Saccharomyces cerevisiae S288C: one gene and its partners. The protein of the gene in region 1 purifies or fractionates together with the protein of each later gene. This does not show direct contact. Each region holds a gene or a part of one and is shown in the gene's direction. Other genes may lie near its edges.

Region 1 (3,471 bases):
TTGGTGCAACTGGCATGAGCCAAACTCCCAATATAGCGGCCAATGAGACAGTTATAGATAAGAATGATGCTAGAGATCAGAATATAGAAGAATCTGAAGCCGACTTACTTGATTGGACTAACAACGTTAGAAAAACATACAGACCTCTAGATGCCGACATCATCATCATTGAAGAGATACCTGAAAGAGAGGGTTTACTTTTCAAGCACGCAAACTATTTAGTGAAACATCTCATTGCTCTTCCAAGTACCTCGCCTTCTGAAGAACGTACTGTCGTAAGAAGATACTCTGATTTCTTATGGTTAAGAGAAATTCTGCTGAAAAGATACCCTTTTAGAATGATCCCTGAGCTACCTCCCAAAAGAATTGGATCCCAAAACGCAGACCAGCTTTTTTTGAAGAAAAGAAGAATAGGGTTATCTAGATTCATTAATTTGGTAATGAAACACCCTAAATTAAGTAATGATGATTTAGTGTTAACATTTTTAACCGTACGCACTGACTTAACAAGTTGGAGAAAGCAAGCAACCTATGACACTTCAAACGAATTCGCTGATAAAAAGATATCACAAGAATTTATGAAAATGTGGAAAAAAGAGTTTGCAGAACAATGGAACCAGGCTGCATCTTGTATCGATACCTCGATGGAATTATGGTATAGAATCACGCTTCTCTTGGAAAGGCATGAAAAAAGAATTATGCAAATGGTACACGAAAGAAATTTTTTTGAGACACTAGTGGATAACTTTAGCGAAGTGACTCCAAAACTATATCCGGTACAACAAAATGATACCATATTGGACATTAATAACAATTTGAGTATAATTAAAAAACACCTAGAAACTACGAGTAGTATCTGCAAACAAGAAACAGAAGAAATATCGGGAACGTTATCGCCAAAATTCAAAATTTTCACGGACATCTTACTTTCTTTGAGAAGTTTATTTGAGAGATACAAAATTATGGCTGCAAATAACGTAGTTGAATTGCAAAGACATGTCGAATTGAACAAAGAGAAATTGGAATCGATGAAAGGAAAACCAGATGTCAGTGGAGCAGAGTACGACAGGATAAAAAAAATCATACAGAAGGATAGAAGAAGCATAATAGAGCAATCAAACAGAGCTTGGTTGATAAGACAATGTATTTTGGAAGAGTTTACAATCTTTCAGGAAACCCAATTTTTAATAACACGTGCCTTCCAGGATTGGGCAAAATTGAACTCCAACCATGCCGGTCTCAAACTGAATGAGTGGGAAAAGCTCGTCACAAGCATCATGGATATGCCGATTTCTCGTGAATAAATTTTACGGAGTGAAGACTAACCACTTAGTCTGCCAAAACATTATTGAAGGATATCCAACAGATGTAATTGACGTACTAAACAGAGAAATAATTAGGTAAATAGAGTAAAGATATGTACCACTATAAATTGTTATTTATTTGTTTTTCAATTTTAAATACAGTGTATGAAGCCTAATTCGGATATTATAGGTTCCCATATTTATTAGAAGGTAACAAATCTTTCGATAATTTGGATTAGATAGCCTTATAATATGCCGGACAAACGACGCCCGCTAAAAATGTGTATTCTCCAGTATTCAATATTCGTCATAAATGATCTTAATTTGAAAAAGTGAATGAACTGAACATCGATAAGTCGAATGTGGTCCGTGTAATAGCTCAAATGGGAAAGTTTTTCTAATCAGCATTCTGTATAACCTCACCTGCACGTAATCTAAAGTGCTTTTATCGATTGGTAGTGCACATATTGTCTTTCGGCATCATATCACATAATGGCAAATTCGCCGAAAAAGCCATCTGATGGCACTGGAGTATCAGCGTCAGACACGCCTAAATATCAACATACCGTCCCAGAAACGAAACCAGCATTTAATTTGTCACCAGGTAAAGCTAGTGAGCTATCACATAGCCTTCCGTCGCCTAGCCAGATAAAATCAACCGCACATGTATCTTCAACTCACAATGATGCGGCAGGTAATACGGATGATTCTGTTCTTCCTAAAAATGTATCACCCACAACTAATTTGAGAGTTGAAAGTAATGGAGATACAAACAATATGTTCTCTAGCCCTGCTGGACTAGCTCTACCAAAAAAGGATGATAAAAAAAAAAACAAGGGTACGAGTAAAGCAGATTCTAAAGATGGCAAAGCATCCAACTCCTCAGGACAGAATGCACAACAACAATCAGACCCAAATAAAATGCAAGATGTCCTTTTTTCCGCAGGTATCGATGTTAGGGAGGAGGAGGCTCTTCTAAATTCATCTATTAATGCCTCAAAATCCCAAGTTCAAACAAATAACGTTAAGATCCCCAACCATTTACCATTCCTTCACCCGGAACAAGTTTCCAATTATATGAGGAAAGTCGGAAAAGAGCAAAACTTCAACCTGACCCCTACAAAGAATCCTGAAATTTTGGACATGATGTCAAGTGCCTGCGAAAACTATATGAGAGATATCCTAACAAATGCCATTGTCATCTCCCGACATAGAAGAAAAGCAGTCAAGATAAATTCTGGTAGAAGAAGTGAAGTTTCTGCGGCTTTAAGAGCCATTGCACTAATTCAAAAAAAAGAAGAAGAAAGGCGTGTGAAAAAAAGAATTGCGTTGGGACTCGAGAAGGAAGATTATGAAAATAAGATTGATTCCGAAGAGACGTTACACAGAGCATCGAACGTTACGGCTGGCCTTAGAGCAGGTAGTAAAAAACAGTATGGTTGGCTAACTTCATCAGTAAATAAGCCGACGTCCTTGGGAGCAAAATCTTCAGGCAAAGTCGCCTCCGACATCACGGCTAGAGGAGAAAGTGGGCTAAAGTTTAGAGAAGCTAGAGAGGAGCCTGGTATAGTAATGAGGGATTTACTCTTTGCTCTCGAAAATAGGCGCAACAGCGTTCAGACTATTATTTCAAAGGGTTATGCCAAGATCAGAGATTAATTGCTCATCTCTTATACTGTCTATAATATTTAAAGGTATAGTGTTTCAAATAAACTAGGATATAAAAAAAACAAGATTGACTAACATAAAGAAGGCCGGTTGGTGTCGCTTAGTCAAGTCATCGCCAAGCTATTGAGGACCATTCAACCTTTTTGCTTTGTTCATTTTAACTTTATAATAAGGAAGATATATCAATCCTTGAAGTTAGGCATCCTTCTACCAAAAATAGCGGAAAGAGGAGTGATAATCGGGAAAAAAATTTTCATATTAATACACATTTTTATACATTTACTTGTCATTATCCTTTTGGGTGAAAGGATGTATTATGTATTGTTTCTCAGAAGGGCTTCTAAATTAGTCCAAATAATGCTGTTATGGCACCTAACAAACTCATTAGAGTATTAGTGTTCGCATAGGAAATAGCCGCAGCATTCGCTTTGTTTGCCGTAGAGGAAGAAGAACGAGCTGTAGAGGAAGAAATTGAAGAGGATGAAGAATTTGAGTTTAA
Region 2 (6,652 bases), on another chromosome or scaffold:
CCATGTTCCTGTACCCCAAGATAGCACAAGCGTTCACTGCGTCAGTTGCGGCAATCTTTGCCCTGCACATCTTGAGACTCTATGTTGACTGGTCGTACACATACAACATGAGATTCAACATTTTTTTCGGTGTTTTACAGTATATTTTATTGATAATGTTATCATGCCAAAACTACCATGCTCTGCAAAAGCAAAAGCTAATGGGCGAATTCAAGAAAACCGCGTACTCCAGCTTCAAGCGGCAAATCTTCAAACTGTGTGTCATTCCAATTCTTCTTGTGATTGTAACCACAATGGCCATGTCATTGGAACTGTTTGACTTTTTTAGTTACGAATGGCAGATTGATGCCCATGCGCTATGGCATCTGTGCACAATATGGCCCTCGTGGGTATTGTACGACTTTTTCCTCGAGGATTATGCCTATTGGGGTAATAGACAATTGTACTAAATATCTTAATTCACCTGTTTACTATCATGAATAATAGTTATATATGTATTTTTTTTTGTTTATTTTTGATTTTCTTTTACCGTTATCACATTCTGTTTATTTTTCACTTTTTTTTCGCTCTTTCTGTATGTATAGAACTAAATGCAAAAGAATATTTGTGCCAAGATAAGGCCAAGAAATTTTTGGGGCAACAGTAGGCAGTGAAAGCGCTCTTAACGTACTTTGGCAAAGGATGATCCCAGCTCCACTTGATGCTTCCTTATTGAGAGAACATGCATTCCAAGGAACTAATGATCTAAGCACAGTTTTGAGTCCAAGTACGTTTACCGATGAAGGTGGATATAAACCTGTATTGAAATACGGACTCGGTTATTTCAATTATGGACTGGTTATAGACGATGAAGTGTATGATTATTCAGTGTGTGATATCATAAGGGGTCACGTTTACGATCATTTTTGGTGTTATTTCTGTTGTTTCATGATTTTGTTTACTATCTGGTTAATAAGTTTAAATTGGTGTCCCAGCAGCAAGAAAAGCAAGTTTGATTGGAGCAAGAAGAAGGACGACTTTAAGATGGAAGGAGGTGATTTAGAGTACCAACATGTAAAGATCTAAATCTACATCGTTCTCAGGACGACTTATTACTGCTGGTTTCGAAGGAATAACAATGCATTTTTTTATCCCACCATTTTCCTCGTTTATTACAAAAAGCAATGAAATAATATGTATATGTCTACATAGAGATATTATTATAGTAATAATGCATTTTCTATTTGATTTTAATTTAATTTATTTTATTTTTTTTGGATGTTTAAAGTTGAAAATAATAAAATGATTAACTATTGACAGAGGGGTAAGTGGGGTTGTTACCTTTTTCCTTTTGGTTAAAGGAATAAATGTTTTCTTATAACATAAAAAAAGCTATAGTTATATAAACAAGGATTGCGAATTCTTAGAAACATATTCCATGGTTATTTTTTTTATTTTTTACTGCATTCAATTATTTGAAGAAACTGTCCATCAAACATAAGTTTCTTGATAATGTGCTGTTTGTAGTGAACTAGAATTGTTATAATAATATGCTGCAATTTTTATCAGATTGCTTCAAAATCTGAGTGATAATTGTATTTTTTTTATTTATTTAATCCAAGAGTTATTCTAAAATCGCACTAAAATTAGTAAAAAAATCAAAAAAAAAAAAGCTGCAGACATCTAAAATGGTTGTGAATCATTCTTGCGGATATCGTGCTACAAAATCAGTCTTATTTAATTCAATAAAATACATAGAACTTTCAATATAGTGAATATTTTTGGTATTACCTTAAGTAACCGGGTAACACTTAAATACTTTTGCCGAATGGGGCAATTGGTAAATTGCGTAAGATGAAAACTATAGTAAAATGGAACGGATGTAAAAGTATTTTTTGATGAAGTTTTGGACAGTGAAGAGGTGACAACAGGATAAATAGGTGGACTTCATGATGTCCTTTTCCAAAAACGCCACTCCTAGAGCCATTGTTAGTGAATCTAGCACTTTGCATGAGATGAAGTTTAGAAATTTTAGAGTTGCCCATGAAAAAATCTCGTTGGATATAGATCTAGCTACTCACTGCATTACCGGTAGCGCTACTATAATAATCATTCCGTTGATCCAAAACCTAGAATATGTAACTTTTGATTGCAAGGAAATGACTATTAAAGATGTTCTGGTCGAAAATCGTCGATGTGATCAATTTATTCATGACGACCCACTTCAAACAAATTTGAATGGATTGACTTCACAAAATGTATTATACAGCGACAATTCCATTGAACAGTCACATTTTTTGAGATCTAAGTTTGCTAGCTTGAATGAATACCCAGAAACGGACTCTAAATCCCAGTTAACTATAAAAATACCATCTTCCATCAAAATATCTTTGGAGGACGCCAATGCATTAAGTAATTACACTCCGATTACTCCTTCAATTAAGACTACCCCTGGGTTTCAAGAATCTGTTTTCACTCCAATTACATTACAAATTGAATATGAAATCAGAAACCCAAAGTCGGGTATTAAATTCGATACTGTGTATGCTGACAAGCCCTGGTTATGGAACGTTTACACTTCAAATGGTGAGATTTGCAGTTCTGCATCATATTGGGTCCCATGTGTCGATTTGCTTGATGAAAAATCTACATGGGAGTTAGAATTCAGCGTACCGAGATTGGTTAAAAATATAGGTACTTCGAAATTAATCGGACAAAATGGAGAAGAGAGTGAAAAAGAGAAGGAGGATACGCCTGAGCACGATGAAGAGGAAGAGGGGAAGCCGGCAAGAGTTATCAAAGACGAAGATAAGGATTCTAACTTGAAAAATGACGAAGAAGGCAAAAATAGTAAAAGCAAAGATGCACAAGATAATGATGAAGAAGAAGAGGAAGGCGAAAGTGACGAAGAGGAAGAGGAAGGGGAAGAGGAAAGGCGGAATATTGAGGAAAGCAACAATCCGAGTTTGAGGGATGTGATTGTGTGTTGTTCAGAATATTCAAATATTAAAGAACTTCCGCACCCGATTGATTTGACGAAAAAAAAATGCATATTTCAGATAATTAATCCTGTGGCTCCACATCACATTGGTTGGGCTATAGGCGCCTTTAATTCATGGTCTTTACCTTTGATATCACCTCCAAGTGTTGATGCCGAGGACGAAGTAGAGGAAGACAAGTTGAGAGAGAATGTTGTGGACAATGTTAACGATACTATGGATGACGACATTGGTTCGGATATTATACCCATTCAAATTTTCACACTTCCGACGCAGGAAACAGATGAGTTAACAGTTATAAATTCGACAGTTGTCTGCCAAAAAATTATAGATTTCTACTCGAAAGAATTTGGGTCTTATCCTTTCACTTGTTACTCTATGGTGTTTTTACCTACCGCACCTTCTAAGCATATGGATTTTGCAGCATTAGGCATTTGTAATACCAGATTATTGTACCCTCTAGAAGTTATTGATAAAGCATTCAGTACTACGAATGAGTTAGCATGGGCACTTGCTAACCAATGGTCTTGTGTGAATATAACTCCTTTAGATATGAACGACTACTGGTGCTGTCTTGGTATTGCTGGTTATATGGTGTTTCAGGTAACCAAAAAATTAATGGGTAATAACACGTATAAATATCAATTAAAGCGTAATAGTGAGGCGATTGTGGAACAAGACTTCGAGAAACCGCCTATTGGGAGCACTTTTACCGGCAGTTCTAGGCCAATATCTTGGTCTTCTAAAGATTTGTCCTTTATACAATTGAAGGCACCGATGATACTACACATACTTGACAGAAGGATGACTAAAACAGAACGATCTTTCGGTATGTCTCGAGTATTACCTAAAATTTTCCTTCAAGCTATGTCTGGTGATTTACCGAATAATTCGTTGACTTCATCGCATTTTCAACATGTTTGCGAAAGAGTTAATAAAAGTAAATTAGAGAATTTTTTCAACGAATGGGTATATGGGTCTGGGGTACCCATATTACGTGTCACCCAAAGATTTAATAGGAAGAGGATGGTTATAGAACTGGGTATAAGGCAAGTTCAAGATGAAGAACTTGGCCACGAAAAAGTGGTAGGGGAGGAAGGATTTTTCAAAAGTGCACTAGACCACTTAGAACATCCAGATTTGAACCGAACCGAATGCTTCACGGGCTCGATGACTATAAGGATCCATGAACACGATGGTACTCCGTATGAGCATATTGTGGAAATCAAAGATACATTCACAAAAATAGATATTCAGTACAATACAAAGTACAGAAGATTAAGGAAAAGAGGTGGTGGTGCAAATGATGAAAATGGTGTTGAAAACAATAATGAGGAGAAGCCTATTGTTGTGGATGTGAATTGTCTAGGAAATGTATACATGTCGCCCGAAGAGTGTTCCCGATTCAGTTTGACGGAATTTAATCGTACGTCTGAGAGTAATGAATTGCTTAAGCAAAACGAAGCATTTGAGTGGATACGCATAGACTCTGATCTGGAATGGATTTGCCAAATGCACATTAATCAGCCGGATTACATGTTTTCTTCTCAGTTGAGACAAGATGGGGACATAGAGGCCCAACTAGAAGCCATACGATATTATGAGGACGTCGTTGTTAATGGTGGTGTGAAATCACTTGTTTATTCAAGTATTTTGTTTAGAACGGCGATCGACGAGCGTTACTTTTTTGGCATAAGACTCGCGGCGTGCGAAGCGCTTAGTAAATACGTATATGATCCGGATTTTACTGGCGGTGTTAAGCATTTAATTCAGATTTTTCAGATTTTGTTTTGCCTAGAAGACTCTAATATTCCAAAGAGTAATAACTTTGAGAATCCTAAGTTGTATTTCTTACAGTGTAATATTCCCAAATATTTGGCTAAAGTGAAAAATGAAAATGGTAAATGTCCAAAATTGGTGAAGCAATTTTTACTGGATATTCTTGTTTATAATGAGAATGGTGAAAATAAATACAGTGATGATGCGTACGTCCGCAGCTTGATTGAAAATGTTGTTAAAGTTGCTTTAAATGAGTATAAAGATAAAGCATATATGGAAAAAGTTAAGACTCAGTTATTGAGGTACGAAAATTTGGTGAATTGGCTTTCATCATACGAGTCTTTGATTAAGACTACTATCATGTATGCTAAGTACAAATTGCATAAAGTGGGTGCTTATGACTTTACGGAATTGACAGGAATGATAATGCATACATTAACATTAGGTATAAATAACGGAGATATTTCCAGGGAAAGCTTTCAGAATGAGTTTTTAATGGTTTTGAAAATCATGCTTTTAGAAGGTGGTTTAAAAAACAAGGATGCCCTTGTTTTGTTTACTGAAATACTTTGCTTCCATGAGGATTCTTATATTAGGGATAAAAGTGTTGATGTGCTTTCTGAATGTGTAAATCTAGTTGTTATGGATGGTAGTTTGGATACCATAAGTGACGATATTAAGTCCTCCGTCCAATCTGTGCACAATGAAGTTAAAAATATAAAAAGTGAGGATGATATTGAGTTGTTTTTAAGTGGTCATTACGTCGATGATATGAAAATAAAAATAGAAAAGATTGGCCGTCAAAATATTAGTGGGTTAATACAAATATGCCGAGATATGTTTAAAGGGTATAGCCCTTTGAAGATATTACTCTGGGATGTTTTGAATTTACCTGTTCTTAGCTTGTACCAGAGGAAGCAAATACATGATCTTGTTAGGGTGATGTACACCCTAATCAACAGTTTTGTAGTTAGATTGGAAACACCAAGGGAGAGAAGACTTGTGGCGAAGATGAATAGTAATGAAGAAGGTAAACTTGATATTGTTATAAAGCGTGAAAGTATCCTAAAAGTACATATTAAAAAGGAAGTAACCTCTACTGTGGAGGCACCCAAGAAGGCGAATAAGATAAAGATAAGTTTGAAAGGTGATAAACCTGTTAGAAAAGTGGAAAAACAAATTGTGAAGCCGAAGGTAACTAGCAAACAAAGGAAAGTCAAAAGTCATGTGAACCGCATGGGCAGTTTACCTTTACGGTTTGTTAAGATCCAACAACAACCTAGAGTAATGGTGCATTTGTCATCCGTCCCGTATAGCCAATTCGTTCAAATTACAAAAGTCACATCAAGATCGTTTATGGTTAAGATAAGAACAAAGAATGATGCTAAGAATTGATTGTTTGCTTGAGTCTGAGTAATATCATATTTTATACAAATACATAGACATAAACAAAAGAGGCAAGTAGATAAGGGTATAGCCATATGAGTGTATAAACAAACATTGGGAACAAGAGCAAGACGATGGGGAGTTTCAAATAGGATAGCTATACTGACAACATTCAGTACTCGAAAGATAAACAACCTCCGCCACGACCACACTCTATAAGGCCAAATGTACAAACACATCTTCCCAATATCCGTCACCACGTACTTCAGCATAATTATTCGTCAACCACTCTACAAAACCAAAACCAGGGTTTATAAAATTATACTGTTGCGCGAAGTAGTCCCATATTCCGTGCTGCATTTTGTCCGCGTGCCATTCTTCAGCGAGCAGAGAAGACAAGACATTTTGTTTTACACCGGAGCCAAACTGTGAGTAATATGCTCTAAAAGCCATAAATGAGTTTAAATATTTCTTTGAAGATTTTATAGATGTCTTATTGAACTGTCGAA
Region 3 (3,460 bases), on another chromosome or scaffold:
TACCGACTCTGATTCTGGAAATGCTAAAGCCAAAAATGACAATAGCAGTACGCAGCGTATCCTTGATGAACCAGGTGTTCCGATATCTTTAATCGAAAACATAAACAGTAACGTCCGTGGTAAAAGAGGAAAATTGAAGAAAATTCAAAAGAAATACGCCGACCAGGATGAAACTGAACGTCTCTTGCGTTTGGAGGCCTTGGGTACTTTGAAGGGTATCGAAAAGCAGCAACAAAGGAAGAAAGAAGAAATAATGAAGCGAGAAGTTAGAGAAGATAGAAAGAATAAACGCGAGAAACAAAGAAGACTACAGGCTTTAAAATTCACCAAAAAAGAGAAAGCAAGAGTGAACTATGATAAACACAAGTCCGAATTAAAACCATCTCTCGATAAGGGCGATGTGGTTGATGATATTATACCAGTATTTGCCCCCTGGCCTGCGCTTTTGAAATATAAATACAAAGTCAAAATACAACCGGGAAGTGCGAAGAAAACTAAGACTTTAACTGAAATTTTACATTATTTCAAGAGTAGACCACTAGACGGTTCTTCAACTGACAACGAAATGGATTGGCCCCAAGAACATGAAATGATTAAAGGCTTGAAGGAACAGGACTTGGTTCTTCTGCTCTGTGTCGACAAGTTAAAAGTAACAATCGCTGGGCAGAAATCCACCAAGAACGGTGGTAACTCTTCGAAGAAGGGCAAAAAAAAACGCTAAATCATATGAGATGAAAAGAAAATAGACAGCAATTATAATTTTTTCATTATTTTTCATCACAGACCAACGAGAAGAATAAAATGATTAGCATGAGGTGACAATCATTTCTAAATGAGCAACATATACTTATATATATAAGTAGATACATATATATGGAAGGGAGAAAGTAAGACACTGCATATATACCATATAAGACCAGCTAAAATTTTCTTCTATCCGCTTTGCCTTGTGATCATAAGCCTTGCTGTAACCTTTCTTGAAACTTGCTCTTTGCGAAACCCCACGCGCCTAAGAAACCCTTATCCAAATCTAATGCCATTTGGGGTTCGTTCGTAGGTGGTTTAGAAACTCTGGATGCAATAGTGTTAGAGTCAGTTTCGAGGATAACACCATTATCAATGGTTTCATCAATAGCTAATAAAACCATATCATAGTTTTCTTGGATGTTTTTTTTGTCCATTCCTGAGTTCAAAATCAAATCCAAAGCTCCTCTGATTGCTGAAAATCCTTGCTGAAGAACAATTTCATTCTCTTCCAGCGAAGCAACTAAATATATCGTGATATCAATGTATTCTTTGTAAAGGACTAAATGATCCTCGAAGATTAAAATCTCCGAATCTTGCTTGTGAGTCTTACGGTATAGTTGTTTCTCAAACTCTTTTTGCTTCTTCACCGAATTGAAGAGCAATTGGTGTCCTTCATCAGATCTATGAGGAGGTTGATAATACTTTGCATAAATTCGTTCTCCTTGCTGATCTAGTATTAAAACAGCCTGAACAGTATATAGCGATAAAGAAGACATCCTGGAACAATGATGCACAGTACTCAAAATTAGCAAGCCAGCTCACAAACAAAACCTAAATGCCTAAAGAACTTCTGTCTAGCAATAACTTCGATATTCCACACCTTGTAGCCTAAACAATGCAAACGTGTTTTTTCACTTGACAGAAGTGGCGAAACGGGTAAGCTCGCGATGCTTTAGTTTTTTTTTTCAGTAATTTCATATTGCATGATGAAGGTATGCTAATATAACACTTGAAGTAGCTTCCTGAGCAATTCCAAATCACCTACTAGCGGAAAACAGCGATATCTTTGGGTCAATAGAGTTCCTCTGCTATGACTACAAATAATGACTTCTATTTTGCTCTACTACGCATATCTATTCTCCAATTATTGAAGGCACAAGGATTTGACAGGGCAAGGCCCAGTCTGGTGGATGTCATGACCGATCTCTATGCAAAATTCTTGAGTTTGTTAGCATCAGAGGTCAGTTCTATCGCTCAGGCAAGATGTGATCAGGACGATACAATTGCTTTACAAGATATAACTCTGGCTCTGGAAAATCTAGGTATTGTTAAGCCTACGAACGTTCTGGATGTCTATGATGAAAACTCCGAATTATCAAGTTCACGAGGAATGGAAAAGTTCAAGGACTGGTGTATTTATAGTACTCAATTGACCGACGCGCGAATAACTGCCTTACCCACAGTAGAATTACTACAAAGTGAGGAAAAAGAATCTGATCCTTTGTCAGCAATACCTGACTATCTCAATCAATTACTGCAAAACAAGGGTGCGAAACAGAAATTAGAAACAAAGAATAGAAAAACAGAGTTGATAGAAGATCTAATAAATAATAATGGATTAGATGATTGGATCAAATTAGTCATTGCTAGACAACGTATAAACATGATTGAAAGAGCTTCCAAAAAAGAATCTCAAAATGTACCGGCTTTACCACATATTGCAGGCTATAAATCTTCCATTCTAAGCCGCCATCACCACACTACCATAACAAACGAAGATAGGATGCCTTCGGCGATGACCCCAAGAGATGAGGATGCCTTAACAGAGATCCAAGAAAATCCATTTGTAACTAGCAAACTGCCGATAATGAGAAAAGAAAATAGGTTAGAAAATATAACTCTTTCATTTGAGGATGAGGAGCTTGAATCACTTGGCGAAGTGGAAGGCCCTAACCAAAAGTCTCAAGAAAATAACAATGAGGAAAGTTTTAAAGAGAACAATAAAAGTTTAACAGAGTCTCCTCATGGTGATGACCGTGACATATCAATGTTTCAATTCGACTCAAATGTTGATACTAAATGGGCAGAGCAGGAAGATATGGACAGCACATTTCAACGTCGAACCTCACTAGATTATGGGGGTTACTTTTAAAACGACATTTCTGCATTTTCTTTCGTCATTATCTCATCCATATTTAATTAACCTCACATTATTACTATATAGTGTACTTTCGCTTCTTCAAGATAATAAGCAATTAAACGCCCGATTCATTTTTTTCTTTATTTTAATCATTTTTAATATACAGTATTATAATATTCTTATATATACATATCTGATTTTTTCTCCAGGTGTGTAATTAGCCATATTGCTCAGTTTCAATCTTCTATAATTTTTTTCTAGATTTGAACTTTGGACCTTTCTTATTATGTTTGCCAATCTTGTTACCTTGATTTACTCTTCCTCTCATTAGCCTACTATCCTTTTCACCATCATCATCATCGCCAAATTCATCAGAGTCCTTTCCATTTTTCCTGAATTTCAGCTTGTTTCTTTGACCTCTTACAGGACCACTTTTCACAGCCTCTAGATACGCATTGATTCCGCTTGTCACAGCACTCAATGGATCGTCTACATTAGTAGAGGGTTTAGGTTGCCCCTTGACAACGAGTTTTCCTTCTGAGTCAAAGTTAAACGCATCATCATTAAACCTTG
Region 4 (4,077 bases), 230 kb from region 1:
TATAGTCCTTTGTAGTCCTCTCTGTCTTGACACTGTACCAGGTAGTAGCGTCTATGAGTGTGGTGTCTGATGGTGTGTGCGTGACGCTGGTGGCGTCGTAATGGATTAGTTTGGATAAGTCAAGGAATAGCTCTTTACAGGTGGCTTGATTCGTGAGGGATTTCCAGTCCTGGCAGGGCAGACAAAGCTCAAAAACCAAGTCTATGTCCATGAGTAGCACTTCGTTTAACACTTTTGTAACATTGGTATTGGAATGGCTATGCGGATATAAGTTTCTTATTATTCTAACATAGTATATCACTACGTCCAGTCTATCTAGTGGGTCCATCTTCATGGTTGTATCGAACAAACATTGGTGGAAGTCCTCGTAGTGATGTCTGTAGTTTCTCAAGTAGAACTGTATAGGGTCATTGTTCAGCTTTTGTTGCGATGACGGTGGTGTGGTGGTCGACGATGATGTGATAGAGTCTCTGGTCTTGTGCAGCGTCTTTTGCAGGTTCTTCAGGACCTGAATGAATTGTAATCTAGCTTCAAGAGAGTCCATCCTTGCTGTATACCTTTACCTGGCAGTGCTTTTGTGAGAAATTAACTACCATCTGGTATTCTTTTTCCTTTTCTTTCTAAAATTCTAGTTTTTCATGTTGTGCTTAATTAGGAAAAACAGTGAATTTGAACAGTTGCTGAAGTTGAGATCAGTCTTAAATATACATTGCTCAAAGAAGTACAAATACATATAAATATAAATATCTATGGTTTTCTCAACTAGTTATTATGTGGCATATACGAATGTTTTAGTGGTATGCTGGAAATGAATGTCATATGGTTGCGTTTTTCTCTGTAGAATCGGAATTCTTAGTGATATGTGCTGCCGGCGATGGTTGCGTCCGTGGCTGATTTGATGCTGCTGTGCTTGTGGACAGATCAAGATATGGTTTCACAATGAAAGGCCGCTGTAAGTAGTTGTAGGGCCCCATCAGGAAAGAAGATGACGGGTCTTGATTGCTCCCATTTATAGTAAAGTTCATGTTCACGTTCACGTTGCTGTTAAGGTTGTGGTTTGAATTATGATTAATGCTGTGGTCGGCGTTGTAATTTGAATTCACGTGGCCGCCAGAGTTTCCCGTTGAAGATAACAGGATCTTGTGGGTGATGAACGGCTTGGGCGGAACGACGTCCACTCTCTGTTGCTGTAGTAGTTGTTGCTGCTGCTGCTGCTGCTGTTGTTGTTGTTGATCCATGAATGACTGATGGGTATAATCCAGAGATGGAGGCAATGAAGTTGACGCCGCTGCTGCATGCGGCGGTGGTGCTGCTGATGAATTATGAGCTGAGTGAGACGACGGGCTGTGCGTCAACTCTCTCAGTGCGTCCACAGCTTCCATGTCCCTGGAACTAATAAGACGCGACTCCTGATCTTGCTGAGACCCGTCGGTCTCTTTACCCCCAGTATCTTGCCTCCTCCTCCTACCACTGCCAGGCTTTCTTCCCTCTCTCAACGTCTTCCCTTTTCCGGGCTTTCTGCCGCTTCCAGGTTTCCTTCCTTGTGCCAAAGTTTTCGCCATCACCCAATGTCCTGCTCCAATATACTTTAGGACAGTTTGTAGATTCACAAGGTGATCTGTTCAAAAACTCCACTGACAATAATAGAAATTTTTTTTTTTTCATTTTCTTTCAAAACTCATCACCAAAAAAAAAAAATTGATGCATTAGCATCGGCTTCATAAACGAAAAAAAAAAAAAGAAGTTGAAAAGAAAACATGATATAAATAGTTGCAAACTAAAGTAAGATAACTGAAGATGATTAGTCCTGTTTGCATACATAGTTCTGTTCTTGTTCTACGCTGATGCGATCAATAAAGTCGCTTGAAACGCGACTGGTAGAAGCCAGCTTAAGCACAAATGGTGTATATGGGAGTGTTACCCGATGCTTTTATGTAGAAAATCTTGAACTCTTTAAAAAAGAGAGTAAAAGCAATGGAGAGAGAGGCAAGCAAGCAAACAAACGTGTAATTGAGGGACTCATAAAGGGCAATGACTTCCAAAACGTCAGAAAGTGGTACCGGTACCCAAAGTACCATAGTTCAGCTGAGGAACCTACCGGATTTGACGGAAATTAGTCACTTGGAAATAGATGCTCCCGTAGTTGAAATTCTAAAGAAAACAGTACTTTTCCAGTTGAATTCGTTGAACATCTGCATTTCAAACTTTGCATTGGATGAGCTGGTCAACCTCGTGACCGTCCAAATGGACGGCATGTTTCGGAACCTGCACAATTTAACACTTTTACAAAGAAGGTCGCAAGCTTCTCAAGCAGATTTGAAATTGTTGCTTCGAGAGTTTAACCTGGATGCGCCCTCCCTTTATCAGCAGTTTCAGGCCTCAGAATTCATCAAATCGAAGCATTCCACGGAATATGAAAAATTGATGAGCTGGTCGTCTCTTGCTGCTTTACCGCATAACGAAGAAGATGAAGAGGACGAATTGAATAATATCGAGGAGCAACAGAACGAGATCAACGTTTTGCTGCCTCCCTCTAACCCACTGGAAAAACAGATACCGAGTTGGCTGCCCAACTTTCCGCCTGACCATACCTATAAGTTTACACCTGAGTTCAACCATCCAATTACTGATCTAAAAACCATCAAGAAAGAAATAGTAAAAGAAAGCCAAGAGTCTGAAAAGGCACTATTGAACTTGAACAAAAGTCTCTCCCACATATCATCAGCGTCAAATACCCCGCAACCGCCGGGTTTAGACGATGAGGACGCTATCGAGCAACAATTGGAGATTTGGGGCAACGCGCTGGAAGAAAGGAAACCAACCATAACTGAAAAGTCCTTCAATGAAAACAATATCGAGCAGTATGCGAAGTATAGAGTGGAATTGGCGAGAGAACGTGTCACGAAATTTGAAGTGAATCAGTTGAAAAGAACAAAAAATCCATTCTTGAAAATTTCTGAAACTCTCTACCTTCCAGAGAGTCCTCACCAGTCTCACAAAACCATACAAAAAACCATAGAATTGCAATTTCGTAAGTCTATGACACTATTCATGCACAATTTACCTAAGGTCCAGAAGTTGAAGAAGGAAAAAATACGAATGGCCAAGGAAGAAAGAGCAAAATCGCTAAAACGTCGGCAAGAAGAGCTTATTTCACAACGAACAAAGAGGGAACAAGATGAAGGCCATGATCTTGAGCTTCTACTAAATAACGAGCACGCAAGGGACGCTGCAGACGACACGACCACCCCTAATGCATTAAACAACTCTACCATAGTTATCAACACAAACGCCGAGGATGAGGACGATGACATAAACTTATTTGGCATCTTAGGGAGCAGTGAAGATGAGAATGAAATGTCGAGTATGCCTGCGGAGAACCTGGTCGCGGAATCGGAACCGCCAACAATGACAGCGCAAGATACTACAAATACTACACCTGTAGCACATAACACAACCAATATCGATGCTACTACAAGTCACTCTCCTCATTCGACGCCTAATGAAAACGCCCCGACATCTCCTCCTGCAGATATAGCCACAGATCACGATATAACTATGTAAACAACTGCTTTCAGTGAACCAGTGTTTGTCCCTAATATAATAATACGTATTCAATTTATCTCCGGAGAGGAATTTTTTTTTTTTTTTTTTTTCGTTCTTCGGCGACTATACCGAAACAAGGCTTGAAATATTTAGAATCAAAGAAAGTTTACGTCTTGTAAATTAGTAAATGGTAACGTGAAAGAAGTAGACGTAAGGGTGCAGTAACAGTCATTTGAGCTTGTTGACCTACCAATTAACACAAAAAAATGGGCATGTTTTTTAATTTAAGGTCAAATATAAAGAAGAAAGCCATGGACAATGGACTAAGCCTGCCCATTTCAAGGAACGGTAGCTCGAACAACATCAAGGACAAACGCTCAGAGCATAACTCCAACTCATTAAAGGGCAAATACAGGTACCAGCCGCGCTCCACACCGTCTAAATTCCAGCTTACGGTGAGTATCACATCTCTTATTATTATCGCCGTTCTGTCGTTATATCTCTTTATATCATTTCTCTCCGGAATGGGCA

Evidence for each region.
Region 2: the proteins of TAF4 (region 1) and TAF2 purify together in Saccharomyces cerevisiae (affinity purification with mass spectrometry; 4 studies listed by BioGRID, with this or other methods). This does not show direct contact.
Region 3: the proteins of TAF4 (region 1) and TAF3 purify together in Saccharomyces cerevisiae (affinity purification with mass spectrometry; 7 studies listed by BioGRID, with this or other methods). This does not show direct contact.
Region 4: the proteins of TAF4 (region 1) and TAF8 purify together in Saccharomyces cerevisiae (affinity purification with mass spectrometry; 2 studies listed by BioGRID). This does not show direct contact.

Annotation. Positions count from the first base shown.
Region 1 is NC_001145.3:274,249-277,719, forward strand, and holds TAF4 (Taf4p), read left to right. Parts: upstream 1-1,796; coding exon 1,797-2,963; downstream 2,964-3,471. Other genes in the region: MVP1 (Mvp1p), read left to right, coding at 1-1,304; PLB2 (lysophospholipase), read right to left, coding at 3,313-3,471. UniProt on the Saccharomyces cerevisiae protein: Functions as a component of the DNA-binding general transcription factor complex TFIID. Binding of TFIID to a promoter (with or without TATA element) is the initial step in pre-initiation complex (PIC) formation.
Region 2 is NC_001135.5:200,674-207,325, reverse strand, and holds TAF2 (transcription initiation factor TFIID subunit TAF2), read left to right. Parts: upstream 1-1,928; coding exon 1,929-6,152; downstream 6,153-6,652. Other genes in the region: PER1 (Per1p), read left to right, coding at 1-449; YCR043C (uncharacterized protein), read left to right, coding at 682-1,065; YCR041W (uncharacterized protein), read right to left, coding at 6,083-6,415; MATALPHA1 (transcriptional co-activator mating type protein alpha), read right to left, coding at 6,357-6,652. UniProt on the Saccharomyces cerevisiae protein: Functions as a component of the DNA-binding general transcription factor complex TFIID. Binding of TFIID to a promoter (with or without TATA element) is the initial step in pre-initiation complex (PIC) formation.
Region 3 is NC_001148.4:533,081-536,540, reverse strand, and holds TAF3 (Taf3p), read left to right. Parts: upstream 1-1,837; coding exon 1,838-2,899; downstream 2,900-3,460. Other genes in the region: RQC2 (Rqc2p), read left to right, coding at 1-721; RET3 (coatomer subunit zeta), read right to left, coding at 954-1,523; mRNA-binding protein RRP12, read right to left, coding at 3,132-3,460. UniProt on the Saccharomyces cerevisiae protein: Functions as a component of the DNA-binding general transcription factor complex TFIID. Binding of TFIID to a promoter (with or without TATA element) is the initial step in pre-initiation complex (PIC) formation.
Region 4 is NC_001145.3:41,530-45,606, reverse strand, and holds TAF8 (Taf8p), read left to right. Parts: upstream 1-2,031; coding exon 2,032-3,564; downstream 3,565-4,077. Other genes in the region: CTK3 (Ctk3p), read right to left, coding at 1-544; DAT1 (Dat1p), read right to left, coding at 816-1,562; VAN1 (Van1p), read left to right, coding at 3,813-4,077. UniProt on the Saccharomyces cerevisiae protein: Functions as a component of the DNA-binding general transcription factor complex TFIID. Binding of TFIID to a promoter (with or without TATA element) is the initial step in pre-initiation complex (PIC) formation.